Linked DNA regions of Cricetulus griseus. The protein of the gene in region 1 binds, or shares a complex with, the protein of each later gene. Links are inferred from orthologs where the notes say so. Each region holds a gene or a part of one and is shown in the gene's direction. Other genes may lie near its edges.

Region 1 (10,553 bases):
TTAATGATTATAAGCATTAGAAAACTTTTAAATATAAAAAAATACTAAACTATATCGAATCCCCCTCAAAAGGAGGGGGATTATGTTGATATTTCTCAGCACCTACTACAAAGAAGTTTAGAGTCTTTTGGAACCACATGTGGTGGCACTTGAGCTTGCAGTCCAGTGAATTGGGAGGCTGGGGCAGACTGACTAGCCTTAGACCTGGGGTTTTAAAGCAATCTGAATAACATAGCCTGTCTCAAAGAATAAAGCTACAAGAGTTTTTTTCAGCTCTATTGTTCATGATAGACCCACTTCTAATTCTAGTCTACTCACTGTGACACAAACCTTTTGTTGCATATCTGAGTCTCCCTAGAAGTTCAATATATACAACTGAAACTTATGACAATATAATTAGTAAGAATTTCTGCTGGTGTGGTGGCATAACGCCAGCACTTAGGAGTGAGACAGGAGAATGACCATGTTGAAGGCCAGTCTTGGCCTCCATTAAAAAAAAAAAGTTTATAAAGTGTGTACTAGACACAGTATACTCATGATCTACTTTAATAATACCTATGGGCTAGATTTAAACATAAGGAGACTTGATTTTCAGTGCCCAAGGTCAGACAGCTAATAACAGGGGAGGCTAAAACCTAATTCCAGGTTTCTGTGATTGGGCCATCTACTCAGGTAACATTTGAATTGTATTGTTTTACTCTCACATCTAGTTTTAAAACTGCTTTCAAATAGAATATGTAAGGTTATCTCATTCAACTTACAATACCCTGGGGAGGAAAGTTTCTGGGTACAGAACCCTGAAACTGCCAGCATGAGCTGCACTCAAAAGGTCATGTGACTAAGACAGAGCCGCTGAATGAAGATCCTCTAACTTTAGTGTTAAACCACTTGTAGTTTATGTAGAGCCATTTTTCCCCATTTAGGACAACTATCTCTGTCCTCTCCTACTGAATGATAACCACAGATCTTATCAGTAAACATAACACATTGTGGAAGTAAGTTAGTAACTGTATTAATAAAGTCCATGCATGGTTTATGTCTATTCCATTTAGTGTTTGGAAACTTGCATTAAAAAGTCAATACTTAATAAACAACCTCAGAAGGAACTACAATCTGTGAGGCTTGAAGTGGTTTTATTTCCTTGTTAATTGCTCAACACTTATTCAGTAAACAACCTATCAGGGACCTCACTCAGCATTTTGTGTGCTTGGACAAGTCCTTATCCACGTCAGCATCCTTGTGGAGAAGACACAATAAGGACACTATCCTTTAACTGAAGGGAGGTTTACAGCTTACTGAGGAATACACCAGCTAATAGAAATAATCTGTAAGTAAAAATAAAGGAAATAATAGAAAATATTGTGTAGTAGCCTAAGGGACAGACTGGCTACCTTGGCCCAAAGGGGAAGAATACTTTTCCAATGTCGATGATACCCTATAAAGACAGTGAAACTAAGAAAGACCTCATAGTGGAAAAAAAAATCAAAGGATGTTGGGGCCCCAACCTTTACATATTACTTAATGGAGGACTTATTCCCCAAATAAATTTCTGCATATAAATCTCTCCCTCCCTTTTGAAACATGGTCTCACTGCTCTAGCTGGCCTAGAACTCTTTATAGACCAGGCTGGCCTTCAAGTCACAGAGATCCGCCAGGCTCTGCCTCCCATTGCTGGGATTGCAGGCATGCACCACCACACCCAGAGACACACAAAAATGTGATATACTATACAGTATCAGAAATACCTTCCAATGCTCAAATCATCTATTTGTATACATATAATGTCAAACATTTTTTTCACATTTATTCTTCATTGTCACTGATTTCCTGCTGCTAATCTTCCACGTTTCATCAGTAGTCTAAGTTACTACTTTCACGAGTTCCCTAAAATTGAAGCAATTAATTGTGACATAAAACTGCAGACTCATCCAATCTCTTTCTTATGAATTTCTCCTCCTGTAGTACTCAGTACTTTTAAACTGGTTTCCTCTAGTCCATTTTGGTGCACCTGCACAGAACTGGTTTGGACTTCCAAAGCACTTAGGAATTCTGTTTATTTGGTGGAATGTCACATGGGCAGGAAACCAAAACCATTTTTTCCCTCTCCTCAAGAGATCAGGGAAGCTCACTCTTGAGAAAAACAACGGCTAATACTGTATTTCAGGAGATGGCTCAGTCATTAAAGTGCTTGCTTTGCAAGCATGAAAATCCAGGTTTGGCTCCCCAGCATGCATTCAAAAGTCAAGTATGTTGGTGCTCCTTTATCCTCATTGCTCAGGGGCAAATGGAGACAGAAGGATGCCTGGGGCTTGCTGAATCAGTGAGCTAACCTACCTTTAAAAAAAAGGAGTGGGGGAGAATGGAGGAAGACACTTCTGGGAGGCACACACATGCAAATAAAAATGACAACAAGTGAATGGCTGAGCCAACTGTGGTGTTATCCATACCACAGAATAATGATTAGCAATGAAAAGGAACAAACTATTTAAGAACCTATATTTATGCTTGTTATATAAACCTATCAATAGCTATTGTGGATCACAAAATGGTAAAATTGTAAATATGAATACAAAAACCAGTATGATTTTTCTGGGCAGTGCAAGATATTTTTTGTAAGAAGTTATCAAATAGGCCAACCTTTCTATTTTGTTAAATTGCTATCATTACTTTAGCTTGCAGCTCTCATTAACAAATAAGATCATGTAATTTCAGAAAACGTGGGAGGGGAAAAATTCAGTCTGACAAATCACTAGAAGATAATCATTCCATCTTTTTCCTTTTAACTTTCAAGTTCAGAAGACTAGATCTAAAGCCTCAAGCATTCATGGAGGTAAGAACCATATTCCCAGTCCTCAGCAGATTTTAAAAAGTAAATTCTTCAATTACATTGCTTAGAACTAAGATTTAACTAAAAACATGAAACCATATAAGAAAATGTATAAAAGTCAAATGTGTAATTTAAAACAAGGAACTTTCTAAGTTTGCAGAATAAATAAATGAGTTTAGCCACAAACTGAAAAACATTCCTTTCCTAAAGCTCATTGTTTGATATCAAAACAGTGGCTACTACAGTGCATATAAAATGGGAGTACAAAGGGTTGGGCAACTCTACGGCAAAAGAATTCCTGTATTTTCACAATATATTATACACCCAAATCAGAAGAGGTCACTTCATTTTTTTTTTTTTGCAAATGCAAAAGCTAATTAAAAACACACTCCACAAATTTAAACTGGCCAAGGAATTGACTGGGAGGGACAATTATGTAGGATTTAAAGAAAAAAAAAATGCCCAAAAGGGGAAGGATGCCACAGACATCACAGAAAATACCAAGTCAGTAATATCTAGGCTTAACCTTCCTGCTTTTAAATTATAGCCAAATGAATTTGGATTAATTATATTTTCAGCTTGATCAATTTCGGAAGAATTACTTCCCTTTCGGGAAAACCTCGTCACTTTCCCATAAGCTAGCCTAGGTCTCCAGCCCAACCAGGCAACACCATCTTTCATTGCCTTCTCATTCAACTGTCGCATTACCAAACACCCTGTTCTGAAGACAGTACCACGGCCTTCTCTCCGAAAAGAAAAGGCTGTAAGCCCTGCTCTTGCCCTTCCAGTCTCATCCGGAGCAAGTGAACACTCATTGAACCTCTCTGCAGGGATGTCCGATAAGACCCTTAGAATCACCGAGAATGCACATTCGTAGGGCAGTTCTTCAGTGACTCTGCAGTGAGGGCCGTATCAGTGACATTCCCTCCCAAGCCCGTCTCACCGGAGACGCCTCTGCCTCCAGGGGGTTCTCCTATCTTCCTGCTCATCCGGACGAAGGCCTTTGCCAGGGGAAGGAGCTCTGGGGAATGGGACCTGGAGGTGGTTGCAAACCCGGAGTAATGGCTAAAGCAATCCTACCACCTGAAGCCCCAACGACTCCAAATAGGGAACCGTAATGGCCGCACTCGCTCTCAACCCAGGCAAAGGTGGGCATCTTAATCCCTCGCCAGTGGACTTCGGGGACGAGCCAGGGGTCCAGAATGTAGATCTGGAGAAAAGAGCTACCAACCAGCCAGTGCAGGATGACAACGGGGAAGGAGCCCCAGCACCGCAGGCCGCCGCTCGCACTCCCCAGTCCCCATCTCCTCTCTCCCCGTCAATCGTCCCCACCAGTCGCCGGTTACCTGTCGCACCTGACCCGCCGGGGCGCGAAGAGCAGAATCAGTACCTACACGGGACCCAGAGGCTCTGTCACTGAGGGAGGGGAAGACTTCAGCTGCAAGGGGCGGGTCGTCCTGGTCATGTGACCTCAAGCTCCACCCTGCTTCTCCTCCCCAGCCACGCCGCCTCTCGCCAGTCTTGAATCCTAGCAGGTCGCTTGGATGTGAATGGTTGCGTGGCTAATGAACGAGTTAGGTCCTTTTTTCGCTATGACTGGGTTATAAACTGCAGCACAGAAAACGAGGACGGCAAGGGTTAAAGTGCATTGCTAAGGAAGTGACGTTAAGTCACGCTCTAGGGGCCGGAAGTGGCGATGGAGTCCCGCCTCTCTCAGTCCCGAGTTAAAATCCTGGCTGGAAAGCTTCAGCCTATCACGTGATTAAAAAAAAAAAACAAAACCGTGGTTTGCCTGCTGGAAGATAGCCAAGTTATCCGGGCCCCTCGTTACCTTTTGGTTTTTAAAACACATTTACTGCAGGTCTCCACAGGCTTCTCCTACATCGAGAAGAACCCGTTTTATAAAAGCCTATCGGGCGACAAGAGCGTTTGAAGGTCACTGGAGAGGGGCGCGGGAAAGACCGATCTTGCAGATCTGAGAGCAGTGAGGGAAGGGCGGAAGGATCCGGATTTTACCGCCGGAGCCTACCGGGCAAGCTCGGCGGGAGTGTCGCAAAGGGTGGGCGGAGCTAGCCCCCCGGAGGCCCAGCCCAGGGCAAAGGGGGGGAAGTCCTGGGGGGGAGGGGCGCGCGGCACGGAGCACTGCGGCTGCGCGCGACGCGGCGGCCGCGCCGGCGCGCTGAGGGGGCGGGGTGAAAGGTCACAGCGCGGCGGCGGGTCTGGCTGGCGGCAGCTGCGGGCGGGAGCGGAGTGTCCCGTGTGCACGTGTGGAGGAGCGGCGGCGGCGGCGGCAGCAGCGCGGCGGCGACAGATCTTCCCGCGTCTCCCCGGAGCTTCGGGGCCCGGCTCGGCTTTCGTGGCCTCCTTGGCCCCTCGGCGCCCTTCCCTCAGCCAAGAGGCCGGCGTGTGGGGTTGAGTGGCCTGAGCTCAGGGCGCGGAGAGCTCCCGGCGGCGAGGACGACGGCGTTGGTCGCGGCTGTAACGACGGCCTCAGCAGGCGGGGAAGATGAAAGGGTGAGGAAGGAAGGAAGGGAGGGAGGGAGGGAGGGCAGCCGGCGGGGGCCCGGCGGGCAGGGGAGAGGGGCGTGGGCCGGTGGACCCGGAGAGCGCCGCGAGGAGAGACTCGCGCCAAGACCGGGCCTCCGGAGGGACCTTGCCAGGCTCCTCGGTCACCCCACTCCGGGAGGGGGGCGGAGGCTAGGCCGGCTGTTGGCGGGCTGAAGGGCCTGCGGAGGCAGGGGCGCGAGTCCACGAATCCAGCCCAGAGAACGAGTGTGCACCGAGTGGGACAGCCGGGAGGAGGTATGGTAGGCGCCCGGGGCCTTTTCCCGGGAGCGCACGGCCGAGCCGCCTCAGGTGCTCATCGGTCTCCAGGATCCACGCTGTGGCTGCGAGCTTTGACACGTTTCTGGTTTCTTCCTACTTGTGGACTGTGCAGAACCTTCTGGAGGGAAAAGGAATTGGAATAAAGAGCATGGGGATGAGTGTTAGGAGCTAGTGACTCAACGAGATTTGGGTTGGGTCAGAGCGAGTGGAGGAGGGAGGGGGAACGAACTCAAGCCGCGTAGACTTTGGGGTGCCAAAATGTTTAAGGAAGTATCCGGGATCAGTAGGTGGAGCTATTGCTTCAAGAGAGTTTTGCCCCCTGAGTGCAAAGAGGAGTGTTTTGGCTGCTCGTTCGAAAAGTTGAGGTTTGGTCTTTGAAATCTTGGGTAGCATTAGACGTTATTTTTGTTTAACTGTTCCCGTTTGGGAAAAAGTATTTCCCTTCCATGGATTTATAAACTGTTACAGTATTAACACCGCGCTAACACATTGCTTAGGCAAGCTGTTTTTGAGGTTGCCTTTACAGTCCTTTAGAAAAAGAAATGGAAGCTTAAGCTTGCAAAACTTTTTTGAAATACCGTAAGGATTTTTCTAAGTCAGCTGAAAATTTGAACTATTGTTTCAGTTAGTTAAACTATTTATTCAGCATCCTTTTTGGAGAACGAAATATATCGTCTTGTGTAAAAGAAAGGTCACATTATCTTTAACTCCATGTTCTGAGAAAGCTTAATTTGATTCTAAGTCTACATATAAAATACTTTTTTACTCTGGTTTTGCTTTAGATGTTGGTTATTTGTTGGATTTTTGGGGATGTTTACAGCACTCTAGAGTCACGATGCAGAACGTTTGGCTAATTTTTAAAAATGTGATCCAGTTATCTTTAGGAGGTTTTATTTTTCTAGTAGAGTATGGCTTTGATACTGTCTTTCTCTTTTCTTTTTCTTACTCATTGATACTCAATACATTTTTGTCATGTTCTGTTATAGTAATAGCAATAAAGATAATGCATCTAAGAATTTATTCTGGTTTAGATTTAAAAAATCTTGGATCTAGTTCAGTTCTTAGGTGTAGGATGCAATCTTTCTGATACTTAATTTGACAGAAATGTAGAACACTGGCATTATTGGCAATCTATTCGAACTCGCATTTAGTATATTGTTGAAGCAGCTGTATCCTATTAAGTTCTGGGAACTGAAGGAAAGCACTCTGCCACTGAGGTATATATAACCCTAGCACTTTATTTTGAGATAGGGTCCCACTAAGTTAGTCAGGCTGGCCTTGCACTTGGCAACAATACTTTTGGCCTCATGCAGCCTTTTAGTATTGCAAACTTGAGCCACCAGTACCAGCTGGTTCTGTTTACTTAAACAGATACTCTGTGTAACATAATTAATGGAGGCAAATGCCTAAAGGTGAGGAAATGGGCAAATTTAGAGAAAACTTACAGCTGACTCCATAGTTTGGGCAAGTAAGCATGCTCAAAATTAAGATTCTTTAAGTAAGGTTTTTATTTCTTAGAATTGGGAGCTTAGACAATTTCAAGGTGATTTCACAGGTGTGAGTCTTTAATTTTCCACAACTAACTCCCAGTAAACATGGAACTTTATTTTCCTCTTTCTTCCTTTAAAGGTACTAAAGAAATGAAATCAGAGTGTAGTGCACTTTTGGTTTTTAAATGTTTGTTTTAAGGTGTTAAATGTCCTTGAGATGCAAAACCACTATATGTTCAGTCTCCTGACTTCATTGGAAAGGCCTGTGAAAAGAAGTGGTCCTGTTTCATAGTTTTTGGACTTTGCTGTTGTTGTTGTTTTTTCTTTTATTTCATAGGGTTGTTTTTTGTTGTTGTTGTTGTTGTTGTTCATTTGTTTATTTTGGGGTTCCCCATCCCCACCCCGAGACAGGTCTCTCTGTGTATCTTTGGGGCCTGTCTCACCATAGACAAAGGTGGCCTCGAACTCAGAGATCCAACTGCCTCTGCCTCTTGAGTGCTGGGATCAATCAAAGGCGTTCACCACCACTGCCCAGTATTTCATAGTTCTGATGTGGAATTTTATTTGGTAATTTTTAAATTTTTTTCAGTTAAGTAGATGACTGAAGTTGGAAGCCAAAAAACCCCTTCTGTGATGTAATCTATGATTTAAATTTTCGGTGTTGAAACTTCTTAAAATTACTATTTTAAATATTTTATTTCATATTTTTTACTGTTAGTAGTTTTATTGATAACAGCAGTAGGAGGGTATCCTGTTAAATCATGTGTTTTCATTATTTCTATAGTAGATAAATTTGCGATTAATAACTATTTTTAAATGCATGTGACAAGTATATTAAGTTATTGGCTATTTCAACTGAGGTTTCCTTTTTTATTTTTTTAATGGTTTCTTTTTATTTCTTATATGCATTGGTGTTTTTCCTTGCATGAATGTCTGTGTGAGGGTGTTGAATCTCATGGAACCACAGTTACAGACAGTTGTGAGCTGGCGTGTGAGTCTTGGGGATAGAACTAGGGTCCTCTGGAAGAGCAACCAGTGCTTTTAACCTCTGGACCATCTCTCCAGCCCCTCAACTGAGGTTTCTTGTTTTTATGAACAAAGGGCATTGTGGCTTGAATTTGTGGTTGGTAAGGTAATTGCGATTATCTGTTATTCCTCCCCAGGGAAAATGATATTTAGGCAAGAAGAATGCCATAGATAGCAATGGCTGGAGTGGCAGTGCAATTAGTTATCTGTAATCGAAAATAATAATAATTTCATTTATCCTTTAATTATAATAAAAGATGCAAATTAGTTCTAATAAAACTGCCTTTGAACAAGATAGGAATACTGAAGTGACCAAAGGTAGGTAGGAATAATATTAAATACAGACCAGTGTGGTTACTAATTCAAACTTGGCCAAATGTTAGTTACTGAGTGGAACAAAAGATTCTGCAGTTAGAAGTGAAACCATGTTAACAAGTATGGAATAATGGTTATCTTCAATAGTATATGGACTGGGAACAGGCCCAGGAAGTTTCTGTATCTTTAGGTGTTGATTACATGGAAAATAGGTATGTTCTTTTTTTTTTTTTTTTTAACTAAATTGTAAACAAGATTTGTGCTTTGTTTTTTTGTGGGTTTTTTTGTTTGTTTGTTTGTTTTGATTTGATTTGATTTTTCGAGACAGGGTTCCTCTGTGGCTTTGGAGGCTATCCTGCAGACCAAGCTGGTCTCCAACTCACAGAGATCCGCCTGCCTCTGCCTCCTAAGTGCTGGGTTTGAAGGTGTGCTCTCCACCACCATCTGGCAATTTGAGATGGTTTTGGTCCCTAACCTTCACATCCATCTGCCTCCTCCTCTCCTATAGCTGTTTGGTACTAAGCCTGCTTACAAAATGTATCTTGTATACCAATAAAATTGGCTGTAGAATCCAACTAGAAACAATGCAATACATGTTTCGCTTTTTGTGTAAAACCAGTAATTTGTGACTTATTAAGATAGTGAATTTTAATAAGTACTGTGTAATGTCTCCTTTGCTATGCTGAGAGTTTTGAAATGTCTGAAGTATAATTGTGACTTTGAATTGGCATGGTATTGCTGTAGTGATCTCTTCTTTCCCAAATTTGTGGACAACTTTTACTAAAGCTGCTACAAATAAATAAATAAATAAATAAATAAGCAAGCAAACATAAGTAGATAAATAAAGGTTTCTATGAGTTTAGGGGTTATGTTCAGTTGATATAGTACTTGCCTAGTATGCATGAAATGCCAGCACTGAATAAACTGGACATGGTGGTGCACACTGTTTTTCCAGCACTAGGAGGCAGAGACCAAGTATCAGAAGTTCAAGGTTACATAGTAAGTTCAATGCCAGCTTGGGATACATGAGACACTGTCTTGAAAAGTTTCTATGTTTAAGAATTGTTAAGGGTCATCCAGGAGACTAAGTGCTTACATGCTTTTCCTGTTTTATCATAATACTTTGAATAAATTATATGTTCTTGTTCTCAAAATTTGTAGCCAAACTTTAATTATTACATCTTGTCAGTGCTCTTTCCAGATAAAAGTAATTAATACTTATTTAAGTTTCACCTTGCTGTATTGCCCTTTAGAAATCTTGATTTTTGTTCTTCAGGCATTAATTATAGCTTTCAATTTTTGTGGCATTTGAGGAGGCATTTTTTTTTAAGATTTTATTTATTTATTATGTATACAACATTCTGCTTCTATATATATCTGCACACCAGAAGAGGGCCACCATGTGGTTGCTGGGAATTGAACTCAGGACCTCTGGAAGAGCAGTTGGTGCTCTTAACCTCTGAGCCATCTCTCCAGCCCCCGAAGAGGCATTTTCAATTATTCAAATTTCCTTCATCTTTGTTTTGAGCCTAGTCTTCAGTAACCAGTAGAATACTCATGTAACTATAGAGCACTTTTTATTCTAAAATTGTGGTTTAAACTACAGAATTATAACATAGTAGTGCTATTATTCCTCCTTTTGATTTTCTTTTTTGTTGTTGTTTTTGTTTTTCGAGACAGGGTTTCTCTGTGGCTTTTGGAGGCTGTCCTCGAACTCAACAAAGATCCACCTGCCTCTGCCTCCCGAGTGCTGGGGTTAAAGGCGTGTGCCACCACATCCTAGTATAAGTCCATTATTTTAATAAATAAAATTTACTGTAACAAATCGCATTTAATTAGAAGCAACTAAGTACCACAAATGATAGGTAGCAATAGAGTATTTTAAAATACATTTCCTGTCTTTCTTGTGGTTTTGTTGACTGTCTGTAGGAATAGCTTGAGCCTTATGAATGATAGCAGTCCTGGATGCAAATTCTAAATTATGTTGGTAGCTGATGGATTTTCTTGTTACAAAAAGATTATTCAGACATACTGTGACTGCAATAGCATAAAATTCCATTTGCCGTTTC
Region 2 (10,553 bases), on another chromosome or scaffold:
ATTTTATCGCTACATTGGCTACAGGATGTGCCGTAATTATTAGCATCAATTAACAGATGGGCTCAAAGCAAACTTGTGGACAAAGGAACTTTGTATTTGCAAAGGCCTCTTACCAGTTCCTAAAATCCAATTATATTCAAGATCACTTCGATGCCTCTCAATCCTGTGAGATAGAATTCTGCTATTTACTAGGGAGGCAATACAGGGCTTCCTACATCCTAGGCAAGTGCCTTACCACTGAGCTACAACTCCCTACATAGTTTTTGAGATAGGGGCTCACTAAGTTACGCAGGTGGCCATGAATTTGATCCTCCTGCCTCAGCCTCTTGAGGAGCTGGGGTTATAAGACCTTTCCACCAGGCCCTAGTAAAATTCTTGTAGATGTTACATGAAAGTGCCCTGACTGGCTCAGGAGGGGCATCCAGATGGCAAAGGGATCCAGTTAGCTGACCTAACAAGGTGGGACTGGCTATAATGCCATGTGTCTATGTAGAACAGGATCCAAACCATCGTGTCTCAAGTATCATTTGTGTCCACTATATGTCAACACTATGATTTTTAGTCGTTAATCTTACCACAGTTTCACAACTGTAACATAAAACCTATCCTGTAGGGTTTGTTGGGAAGCTTAGGAGTTATCTGGGAGTAGTAAATACGTTTGCCTATTCGACACATTGTACTAATCAGCTGTTTTGTTTTTTACCTTTGTAATTTTTATGTGTAGGCTCACATTGTGATAAGTGTGTGTGTGTGTGTGTGTGTGTGTGTGTTTGGAAGGTGACAATGAAGGTCAGAGGCATTGGATCAACCTGACTGATCAGCTGATTTAAACATTTTTATTTTTATGTCTGTGTTCGTGCCTGTTTGTCAAGTGCATGATGGTGCCTGCAACTGCCCATGGAGGTCAGAAGAGGGCACTGGATCCCCCGGTACTGTAGTTATAGGCAGCTCTGAGTTGTCCAGTGTGCTCTGGGTGCCAGGAAACAAACCCAGGTCATCTGTAAGAGCAACAAGCACTCTTACTTGCTGAGCCTTCTCTCTAGTGCATGATCAGCTCTTTTTTATGTTGCACAATTGACAGATTCTGTTTCACTGGTATCCAAAGACCATGTTTTAAAAACTATTGGTAATAGATGATACATTCTTTTTGATTTGATAAGATTTTATTATTTTTAATAATATGTTCATATGATGGTGGGGTATATGAATGAAGCTCCCCTTGGAGATCAGAGGAGAGCATTGTATTCCTTGAAGCCGGAGTTATAGATGTCTGTGAGCCAACTGGTGTGTGCTGGGAACCAAACCCAGGTCTTTGCTAGGGGAGTAAGCTGGCTTAACCATTGAGCTATCTCTCCAGCCTGCAGAAGATACAAACTTACCCTTAAAAGCCATTTGTTAAAACTAAAGCTGTTTAGGTCTACTTTAATAGCAAAATAAGTGTTAGCATTTTCCTTTAGTTAGTATTAGTATTAGTGTTAGTAGTTTTAGCAATATTATTTTAAAATCTTTTTAGTAAAACAAAAAGTCATTAGCAGAGTGTGGTGGCTCATGTCTAATCCCAGGTCTTGGGAAGCAGAGGCAGGAGTGACTCTATTTTGATAGAAGTTTGAGTTTCATAGTAAGTCCCAGACCAGCCTGGGCTAATATGAGACCCTATCTTAGAAAAAAAAAAAAAAAAAAAAAAAGGTGGGTACAGAAAGATAAGCCAAAACCAGGGCACCTACTGTCAAGCCTGATGACTTGAGTTCAATTGCTATGTCCCATTTAATAGAAGGAGAGAATAGACTTCTACTAATTTTCTTTTGACCTCCAGATGGGTGCTCTGACAAGCACACATATATACACACATACACACTAAATACATGTATTAAAAAAAAAAAGAGGGGAAAAGAAAGTAAATTACCAATAGAAGGTAAAATAATGACATTGTGCATTGTGGCTAAACATGTTACTAACAGCCTGAGTTACTTTAGTTTGTAACCTAGTCTGAGCCTCCTGGGCTCATGCTCAAGTAAGCAAACCAGCCTACTAATGCGCTGAGTCAGTTGTTGGCTCTTGACTTACTGGCTTCTTGTCCACTCAGCAAGAGTTGTATACTCTTTCTACAGCACACCGCCAGAGCTTGTCCTGACACAGCTTTTGCTAGTCTTCAACAAGTTGAAACAGATGCTACCTTTTGTCAGAGTGTACAGAACCAGTAAGCACATTGCCAGCTTCAGGATCTATGCTGGGAAAGTCCATTTTGTTTTCCAGAACTCTGATCCTTGTGTCCTTTTCCTAGTGTATAGTTTGGAGAGCAATGAAGTATGAGCACAACGTTCTCAGTATGTTAGAGCTCACTGGACCCCTAGAGTTGGAAGAAGCAGCTAAAGATGAAACTCATTTTGAAAAGAACCTAGCTGGGAGCTAATAGCTATTCTAGTTTGGTAGGCATCTTTTTAAACATTTATTTAAACCATATCCTGAATTTAAATGCTAAAATCCTGATTTGTGACCTAGGTGAAGGGAGATTTAACACCTAGAAAACAAGTTTTAGCCCTGGATTTTTCCATGAGGAAACATCTTACTTGACTGATGTGTCCAAGGGAGGGGGTAAAGAACAAAACCTAAAGAAGGATGGCTTCTTGTATACATAAGTTTTATTAAACAAACATTTATTAAACAAACATCCCAAAATGTGGCTGTTATTTTGTTAAGTCTGGGTGGCAGGTTCCTTTAATGTTGTTTTTCTATAAAATGTAAGTAAACTGGCCTCTGGTCTTCCAAACAAGGTAATCTTCCTGAGTGCTGGGCTTTACTATGGTTTTGAAGTCCTTCTGCCTTAGTCGCTCAGTACTGGGATTCCATGTGTGCACCATTACACCCAGCTGGAGGAGGAAGCCTTTTAAGCACAGTGATGGGGAAGGATGCAAGGTCCTCAGCAGCTGCAGTGCCATACAACCTTGGCTGTAACTTCCCAGAAGCACAAGAAGCACTCAAGGCCCAACTCCAATTTCTTTTTTTTTCCCATTCATTTATAAATAAAGTCATGCACAATTATGATCCAATTCAATTTCTATTTGCCAAGTAGTAGTGATTGGAGTCTATAGTTTATCTATTACTGAGTTCAGGCTATCATGTCATTGACTGTGTGGTCAGACTATTATTTGTAGGCACATTTTAACTCAGTAACGAATCTGATCAATATTGTAATCAGACCAGTATTCACTGAACCTTAAAAACTGCTGTTTGGGCCTGGAGAGATGGCTGAGCAGCTAAGAGAACTCACTGCTGTTCCAGAGGATCCAAGTTGGTGGCTTACAACCACTGTAACTCCAGCTTCAAGGTATGACACTTTCTTCTGACTTCTATGGGTAACAGTATCCACACACTTGCACACGAACATGAATAAAAATAAAAATCTTTATATAAAAACAAACAAAAGCTCCCCACCCAAAACCCTGCTGTTTAGACTTGGATGGGGCACTATGTCTGCAATCCTAGCATTTAAAAAGCAGAGGAGGAAGTGAGATCAGGGTAAGCTTGGGCTACTTAGCAAGACCAACAAACAAACAAAATTGCTATTTAGTGGGAAGAGGATTGACAGCAGTAGAGGCAGACAAGAGATGGTAAGGGGGATATGTATAAGTGAGAATAAGATTGAAATATATCATGTACATATATGAAAATAATGAAAAACATCGTGTATAATTAACATGCTAATAAAACATTACAACTTAAAAAATTGTATGTACAATTTCAAAAAAAAAAAAAAACAGTTGGTTTTCTAGTGCTGTGGGTATAGCTAACTCAATGGTAGAAGTGCTTGTCTGGCAGGCATGAGGCACCAGGTTAGAGCTCCAACAGCACACACTCGAAGAAAAGCTATTTATCTATGTCTTTGTATGTGTTGAATTTTATTTTATATGTATGAGTACTTTGCCTGCTGTGTGCCCTGTGCACAGCTGGTGCCTTCAGAGGTGCTGGGGCCCAACCCAGGTCCTCTGCAAGAGCAACAGGGTTCTTACTCAATGAGCCCCATCTCGACAGCCCCATAACTTCATTTATTATTTATATGTGACAATATGGAGAGCAGAGAATAACTTTGTGGGGCCCTTTTTCTTTTTCCATCTTTATGTGAGTTCAGGGTTCAAACTCGGGTGTCAGGCTTGCATAGTAAGAGCCTTTACCCACCATGCCATCTCACCAACCTAATTTTCCTAAATCTTTATCGAGAGATTACAGTATTCAAGGAGACCCTAAGGTTTGACCTCTATAATCCCGATCTTTCGTTTTTTTCGATACAGGGTTTCTCTGGGTAGCCCTGGATGTCCTAGAATTCATTCTGCAGACTAGGGAAGTTAAAGAACAATTTGAAAACCACAAAGTATGTGTTTAAAAAAGAAAGATTGAAAAATGTCAAACTCTTGCACATCTTTATGATTCATGGTGCAAAGAATACTACAAGGCCTGCACGAGATAATTGAGGGTAAAATGGCTCTTATGACTCAATGGCATGTCACTCTGTAAAGGTTTTATTGTCAAGTGTTAATGAAATGTCTGCTGGTGGGAGGGATCCTCTTCACTTTCAGGCCTAATCTTGCTGAGTGGAGTTTGGCCTCTAAGGTTTAAGGACTTCTGGTAACAGGTGGTTCAACAGTTACAATCCTAAGCATGAATTAGAAGTCAACTCCAGGAGTTCCGACCCTCGACTCTACTACATCAAGGTGACTCACACAGCTCTTACTTCAACCCATTATATGACTTCAGCAATGAAATAAACACATACTTCAACCTTCAAAGGCTCCTTTGGCAGTACAAACATGCCTTTTCGAATCTGGCTAACGACCTTTCCTGGCTATCTTAACCATAGTCAACAGAACCACAGATACCCTACCCAGTCAAGTCCATTTCAAAGGTCAAGCTCTTTGACGCTTTTCAAAGACGATTAAGCCCTCACCTCTTCGGATCGGTTCACAAGTCCCCACTTAGGCGAAGGTTTTCTCATCTTACCCTTCGCCTCTGCTCAAATATAGGCACTTGGGCCTTGAACGACTACATCTTCTTAAAACACCTCCGTCGGCATTTTGGCATTTGAGGCTCAAGCTACGATTACAACACCTGGGCGAGTCTACCCCAATGAGTGAAAGGCCGGTTTAGCGAGGAGGAGCAAAAAGGCTGTTTGCGACGAAGAGGCGGCGGAAGCACCGCTGGCTGCCCTCCCAGGAGCTGAGCACTGGAAGGACCGGCAGAGCCAACCCAGAATCAGCCGTTCCGCAGGCCCTGCCGGCCTCCGCGTTCCCGGCAGGCTCCGGTGCAGCGAGGGTGGGGAGAGAGGGTCACCGCGCCTGCGCGTTGGGAGGTGTGACCCGGGTGGGAAAGCCCTCGGCGTCCGCCATTTTGGCTGCCTCTGTCGGTCTTTTCAGTTACCACGTGAACCGCCGACGGAGACCCGTGAGGGGGGAGGTGGCGGCAGCGTTAAGTGAGAAAGGGGGGGAAAAGAAAAAAAAAAAAGAAAGAGGAGAAAGGGGTGTCAGGACAGGGCGGCGCGGCGACACCCGAGGCCTAGTGGCGGCGGAGCGGATTCAAGGCTGAAGCGAGCTTGAGAACGGCAACGGCGGCGGGCGGACAAACGGACTGACCGAGCCGGGCGGTGGCGGGAGCCGCGGGAGGAGCCGGAACCATGCCGGCCGTGAGCCTCCCGCCCAAGGAGAACGCGCTCTTCAAGCGGATCTTGGTGAGTGTGAGGCTGCGGGCGGGCGGCGGGGAGCGTCTCGCTGGGAGCCGGGCCTGTCACTTCCAAGCCCGGGCGGGCGGGCGGGCACTGGGCCACCCCGAGGGGGACCCCGCCGTGGTAGTGCGGGCCGGCAGAGCGCACTCCTTCGTCTCGCCCCGGTGGTGCCCACCTCGGTCCGCGCGCCGCGTACCGCGGGCTTCGGAGGCCTCGGTTCCGGACTAGGCCCCGACTCTCGGGCTACCACAAGGCTGCCTTTTACCCTCCTAGAGCGAAGGGAGGAGCAGCCTGGCCTTGAGCGGGACAGCGGGCCGCACGGGCCCACTCGGGCCAGGGATCCTGCTGGCTGGTCGGGGTGGCACCCTCGGAAGGAACAGGTGGTGTGGCTGAGGCCCGACTCATTCATTGCTTGAACGCGCTTCTCCCTCCACGGCCCGTCCCTCCCTCTTCCTCCCTACCTGGGATTCACCTGTCCCCGCCCGGCCGGGGTCACCGTGACTCCAGAGGGGGCAAGGATGGAAAAGCGAAGGGAGCTTTGCAGTCTGCAAACTCCATGTAGTGGCTTGCATACTTGACCCCGCAGCCCCTGGTCGTCTTTTTAGGGGTGGGGTGGGGGAAACCCATGTCTTAGTTTGAGAGCAAACCTGCCCCACCCCGCCATCCTTCTCCGGAGGTGGGACTCATTTCTAGGGGGCGGTCCGGTCCGGTCCGGTAGGAAGTTCTAGTACTTAAGTACTTTACTTAAGACTGTGAAGTTTTAAAAACACCTATACAAAAACTTAGCCGAAACGATATAAGAATCTTTTGAGATGGATCTTGTTGACGCTAGCTCTGTGTTTCAGATATTTGCAGTTTGCATAAGAAACGCATGCAGTGATACTTACAGAGGTACTGGATTGAAGCTGTTTACATTGTAAACTATGCCCAGTCGTCTTGGTGCTGTCATTAATACATTGTAGCACTTTTGTTGTTGTTTGGTATTTAGTGTATGAGTCGCTTCTTTTACACAAACAGTTCTTTGTGAAAGAACTGTATTTGCCAATTTTAAGACTTGAATGGCGGTGGTGTTTCACACCTGTAATGCCGGCACTGGAGAGGAAGAGGCAGGTGAATGGATCTCTTGAGTTCGAGGCCAGCTTGGTCTACAGAGTTATACAGAGAAACCAGGGCTATACAGAGAAAAAATGGGAAGAGGGAGAGATTCGTGTATGTGTGTGTGTGTTAGCCTTTTAGCTTGCAGTTATAATTCACTTGTTTGACAAATATGGAGATCTAGGGTTTGTTTGTTTGTTTTTTCTTTCTCTAAATAACTCAGCAGTTGAGAGCACTTGGGCTCTCAACTGCTTGAGAGCCAGAGGTCTTGAGTTTAATTCCCAGCAACAACATGGTGACTCATAACCATCTATAATGGGATCTGATGCCCCCTTTTGGCGTGCAGGCATACATGCAAGTAGAGCTCTCAAACACATAAAATACATAAATCCTAAATAACCATTTATGTCGAGGTAATTGATTTTACAGAAATATCCATGTTGTAAATTAATGAATTTGTGTTGAAAAACGATAGTCACATACTATTTAGTGGTATTTTGTTTTCATACCATTTGAAGTGGAATTGTAGCATAGTTTCCCCCCCTATGTTCTGAGACATCTTTTTCCCTGTCTGTCTGGAAAAAAAAAAATTAAAAAGACATAAACCAGATTTGGCAGCAAGTGTTTTCATTCACTGTGTCGTCTCATTCACTGAAGAATAATAGTTGCTGTTATTTCTGTGCTGGAAGGCTTTGTGCATTCGAAGCAGGTGATCTACCGCGGAGTTACACTCAATTATTTTAGGACTGATGTGTAGGTAGAACTATAGCATAGTTTTCTTGCAACATTTACCCACCCACCCCCTGTCCCCTTATTTTTCTTTATCTTTTTTTATAATGCTGGAGGTTGGACCTTGTGCTAAATACAAGCAGAGCTATGTTCCCAACCCCCTCATCCTCTGTTTATACTGATGGGGGGGGGAATCTCTGAAAAAACGAGAGTATCGAAAAATATTTGTCTTTTACCGATATTTAACAAATTGCCAAGATTACTTTTTCTTTCCGTACATAGAAAAAAAGAAAACTGTATGCTTATGCTTCACTCCTTAGAAATAAAGACATGGCCCTGTATAGTTATAATACCATTAACAGTTTTTTTCTAAAATTCAGGCTTTTCAACTGTTAGTGACACCTTTTCATTGTTTTTTGTTTTTGTTTCTGTTTTTGGAGACCGGTTCTGTGTCACTTTGGAGTGTGTCCTGGAACTCGATTTGTAGACCAGGCTGGTCTTGAACTGTCAGAGATCCACTGCCTCTGAGTGCTGGGATTAAAGGTGTAGGCTACCACGCCAGGCTCAGTCTTTCTCTATATTTCAGGCAGGCCCCCATTTCTTAGTATTCCTTTTGCTTCAGCCTTCCAGTACTTGGATAGCAGGTGTGATCCACCATTCTGGGCACAATCAAGTGTGTGCCTCTGTGTAATATGCACATGTTGGGGTTGACTCCAGGGTGTTGCACATACTGGGCAAATACTCTACCTCTGAGTAGTATATATCTCCTCCCCTAAAATTACTCTTATTTTGAGAGAGTTATAAAGTCAAATGTAGTTTGAGATATTCTTTGTATATTTTGCTTACTTTTCCAAATATTATATCTTATAAATCTTATAGTTGATTGTAACATTGATAATGTCTACCAATTTTATTCATATTTCCCAAGTTTTATTTGTAGTTGTATATGTGTTCATTTCTATACAGTAGCTATTACATGTGTAGGTTCTGTGTCTGCAGTCAAAATATAGTTCTACAGTAACACAAAGGAGCACTGTTTTGCCCTTTTAGAACTACAACCACCTATATCCTTCCCATCCTTTTCTCTCACCCTCCAGCAACTGTGATTAGTGTTTCTCCTATTGAAGTAATTTTAAAGGACTGTTTCCTAAAGAGACTCATAGAGTGTATATAACTTACAGATTGGCATTTCTTTAGTGCAGCAGGATTTCCTTGTGGTTCATCTAAGTTTTCACTTGTATTAGTAGTCTGTTATATTTTATTGCAAAGTAATATGCTATAATGTAGATTTAGATTTAGTAGAGTTTGTTTAACTATTTATGGAATTACAGTTCTTGGTTGTGATGGTGGGACAAAAATCTTTAATGTTGTTGCTAAAATCACGGTGCAAAAGGATTAATTATTTTAAAGCAATTTTTTCTTTTTATTAGAAAATTATTTTACATGTCAATCCCAGGTCCCTCTCCCTCCCCTCCGCCTCCCCCCACCCCCAACTAACACCCTACCCATCCTATACCCTTTCTGCTACCCAGGAAGGGTGAGGCCTTCCATAGGGGGCCTTCAAAGTCTGTCATATTCTTTGGGATAGGGCCTAGGCCAACCCCCTTGTGTCTAGACTCAAGGAGTATCCCTCCATGTGGGATGGGCTCCTAAAGTCCATTCCTATGGTAGCAGTAAGTACTGATCCATTACAAGAGGCCCCATAGATTTCCAAGGTCTCCTTACTGACACCTATATTCAGGGGGTCTGGACAGTCCCATGCTGGTTTCCCAGCTATCAGTCTGGGGATAAAGCAATTTTATTGTGTGTTTGTATGAATGTGTGCCTTCGTGCCAACACACACATGTAAGGGTCAGAGAACAGTTTCCCAGAATTGGTTCTCTTCCTACCATGTGGGTCCCAGGCATGAAATTCAGATCTTTAGGTGGCAAGTACTTTTATTCACTGAAAGGTTTTGCTAGCCAGTTAAAAGATTTATTTCCATAAGACTTAAACAAGAAAAATGTGTAAATCTCTAAATGAAAGAAGAAAAAGAGATACAATGTTTTTATTGTTGACAGACATTAGGAATGAAAAAAATGTTACCAAGCAAAATTATAGTTTTGTTTCAAAATTTCAGCTTTTACAGTGTTAGCTCTTGCTTGATTTTTTTTTTTTTTTTTTGTTTTTTGTTTTTTGTCCTGGAACTCACAGTATAGACAAGGCTGACCTCAAAGTTACAGAGATCCACCTGCCTCTGCCTTCTGAGTGCTGGGATTGAAGGCATTCACTACAATTCTGGAGAGCTCTCTTGATTTTCAAGCTTTCTCTTCCCCCACTTTTTCTTGTCTGATAAAGGAAAAGTTGGGCATACTCCAGTGCTAAAATCAAGTGTTGGTAGGTTGCTGACGGTAGCACTCCTTTTGTTGTGGTGTTCCATACTTAGTAAACTTACATAGGGCCAGTTCATGCTTCACAGAATTATGAACTGTCTCTGGCTCAGTATTTTAGTGTAAACTCATGTAATAGTATCACTTTGCACAATTTCATAATTTCTACAGTGGATTTACTTGACTTAGTTCAGTTTGTTTGATACCTGCAATAATATTTGTTACATATTTGCCCCTCCCTTTCTCCACAGTGCTGTTTTCTGACTAAGCATTGTTATAAATTGCTAAAAATATGTGCAAAATATTTCTTGTCTCTAGTTCATCTAGAGAGAAAGAAGATTAACTGGTGTTCTATTTTATGTGAGATTTTTGCTTGGTTGCTTACCAGTCCTTTTAAAATTTCACATCATTTTAATATATTTAGAAAATTAAATCATTTAAAAAATTGTAGCCTCTGCATACCTTTCCTGCTGTTTGTTCATCTAAATCAGTGGTTCTCAATCATCCTAATGCTTCAACCCTTTTTGTTCATGTGATGGTGCTCCCCAACCATATTATTTTCCTTCATAACTGTAATTTTGCTGCTTTTATGAACTGTAGTGTAAATATCTGTATTTTCCGATGGTCTTATGCAACCTCCGTGAAAGGGT

Evidence for each region. Proteins that work in one complex are often made in the same cells at the same time.
Region 2: the proteins of Naa50 (region 1) and Naa15 are in contact, whole or in part, in a cryo-EM structure (PDB 6PPL), measured with the Homo sapiens proteins. The link is inferred for Cricetulus griseus from reciprocal best matches to the Homo sapiens genes NAA50 and NAA15. Residues at the interface, in NP_079422.1 of Homo sapiens: Arg5, His14, Asn15, Lys17, Gln18, Arg21, Leu22, Val25, Phe51, Asn52, Ile54, Ala55, Leu80, Pro82, Tyr83, Leu86; in NP_476516.1 of Homo sapiens: Pro369, Pro370, Thr371, Leu374, Ser403, Thr404, Pro405, Thr406, Leu407, Ile408, Phe411, Glu433, Ala436, Leu437, Asp438, Thr439, Ala440.

The regions. Positions count from the first base shown.
Region 1 is NC_048597.1:46,266,263-46,276,815, reverse strand, and holds the start of Naa50 (N-alpha-acetyltransferase 50), read left to right. Parts: upstream 1-5,025; 5' UTR 5,026-5,212; exon of another isoform or gene 5,213-5,315; 5' UTR 5,316-5,333; coding exon 5,334-5,341; intron 5,342-10,553. UniProt on the Homo sapiens protein: N-alpha-acetyltransferase that acetylates the N-terminus of proteins that retain their initiating methionine. Has a broad substrate specificity: able to acetylate the initiator methionine of most peptides, except for those with a proline in second position.
Region 2 is NW_023276806.1:100,065,558-100,076,110, reverse strand, and holds the start of Naa15 (N-alpha-acetyltransferase 15, NatA auxiliary subunit), read left to right. Parts: upstream 1-5,519; 5' UTR 5,520-5,662; coding exon 5,663-5,716; intron 5,717-10,553. UniProt on the Homo sapiens protein: Auxillary subunit of N-terminal acetyltransferase complexes which display alpha (N-terminal) acetyltransferase (NAT) activity. The NAT activity may be important for vascular, hematopoietic and neuronal growth and development.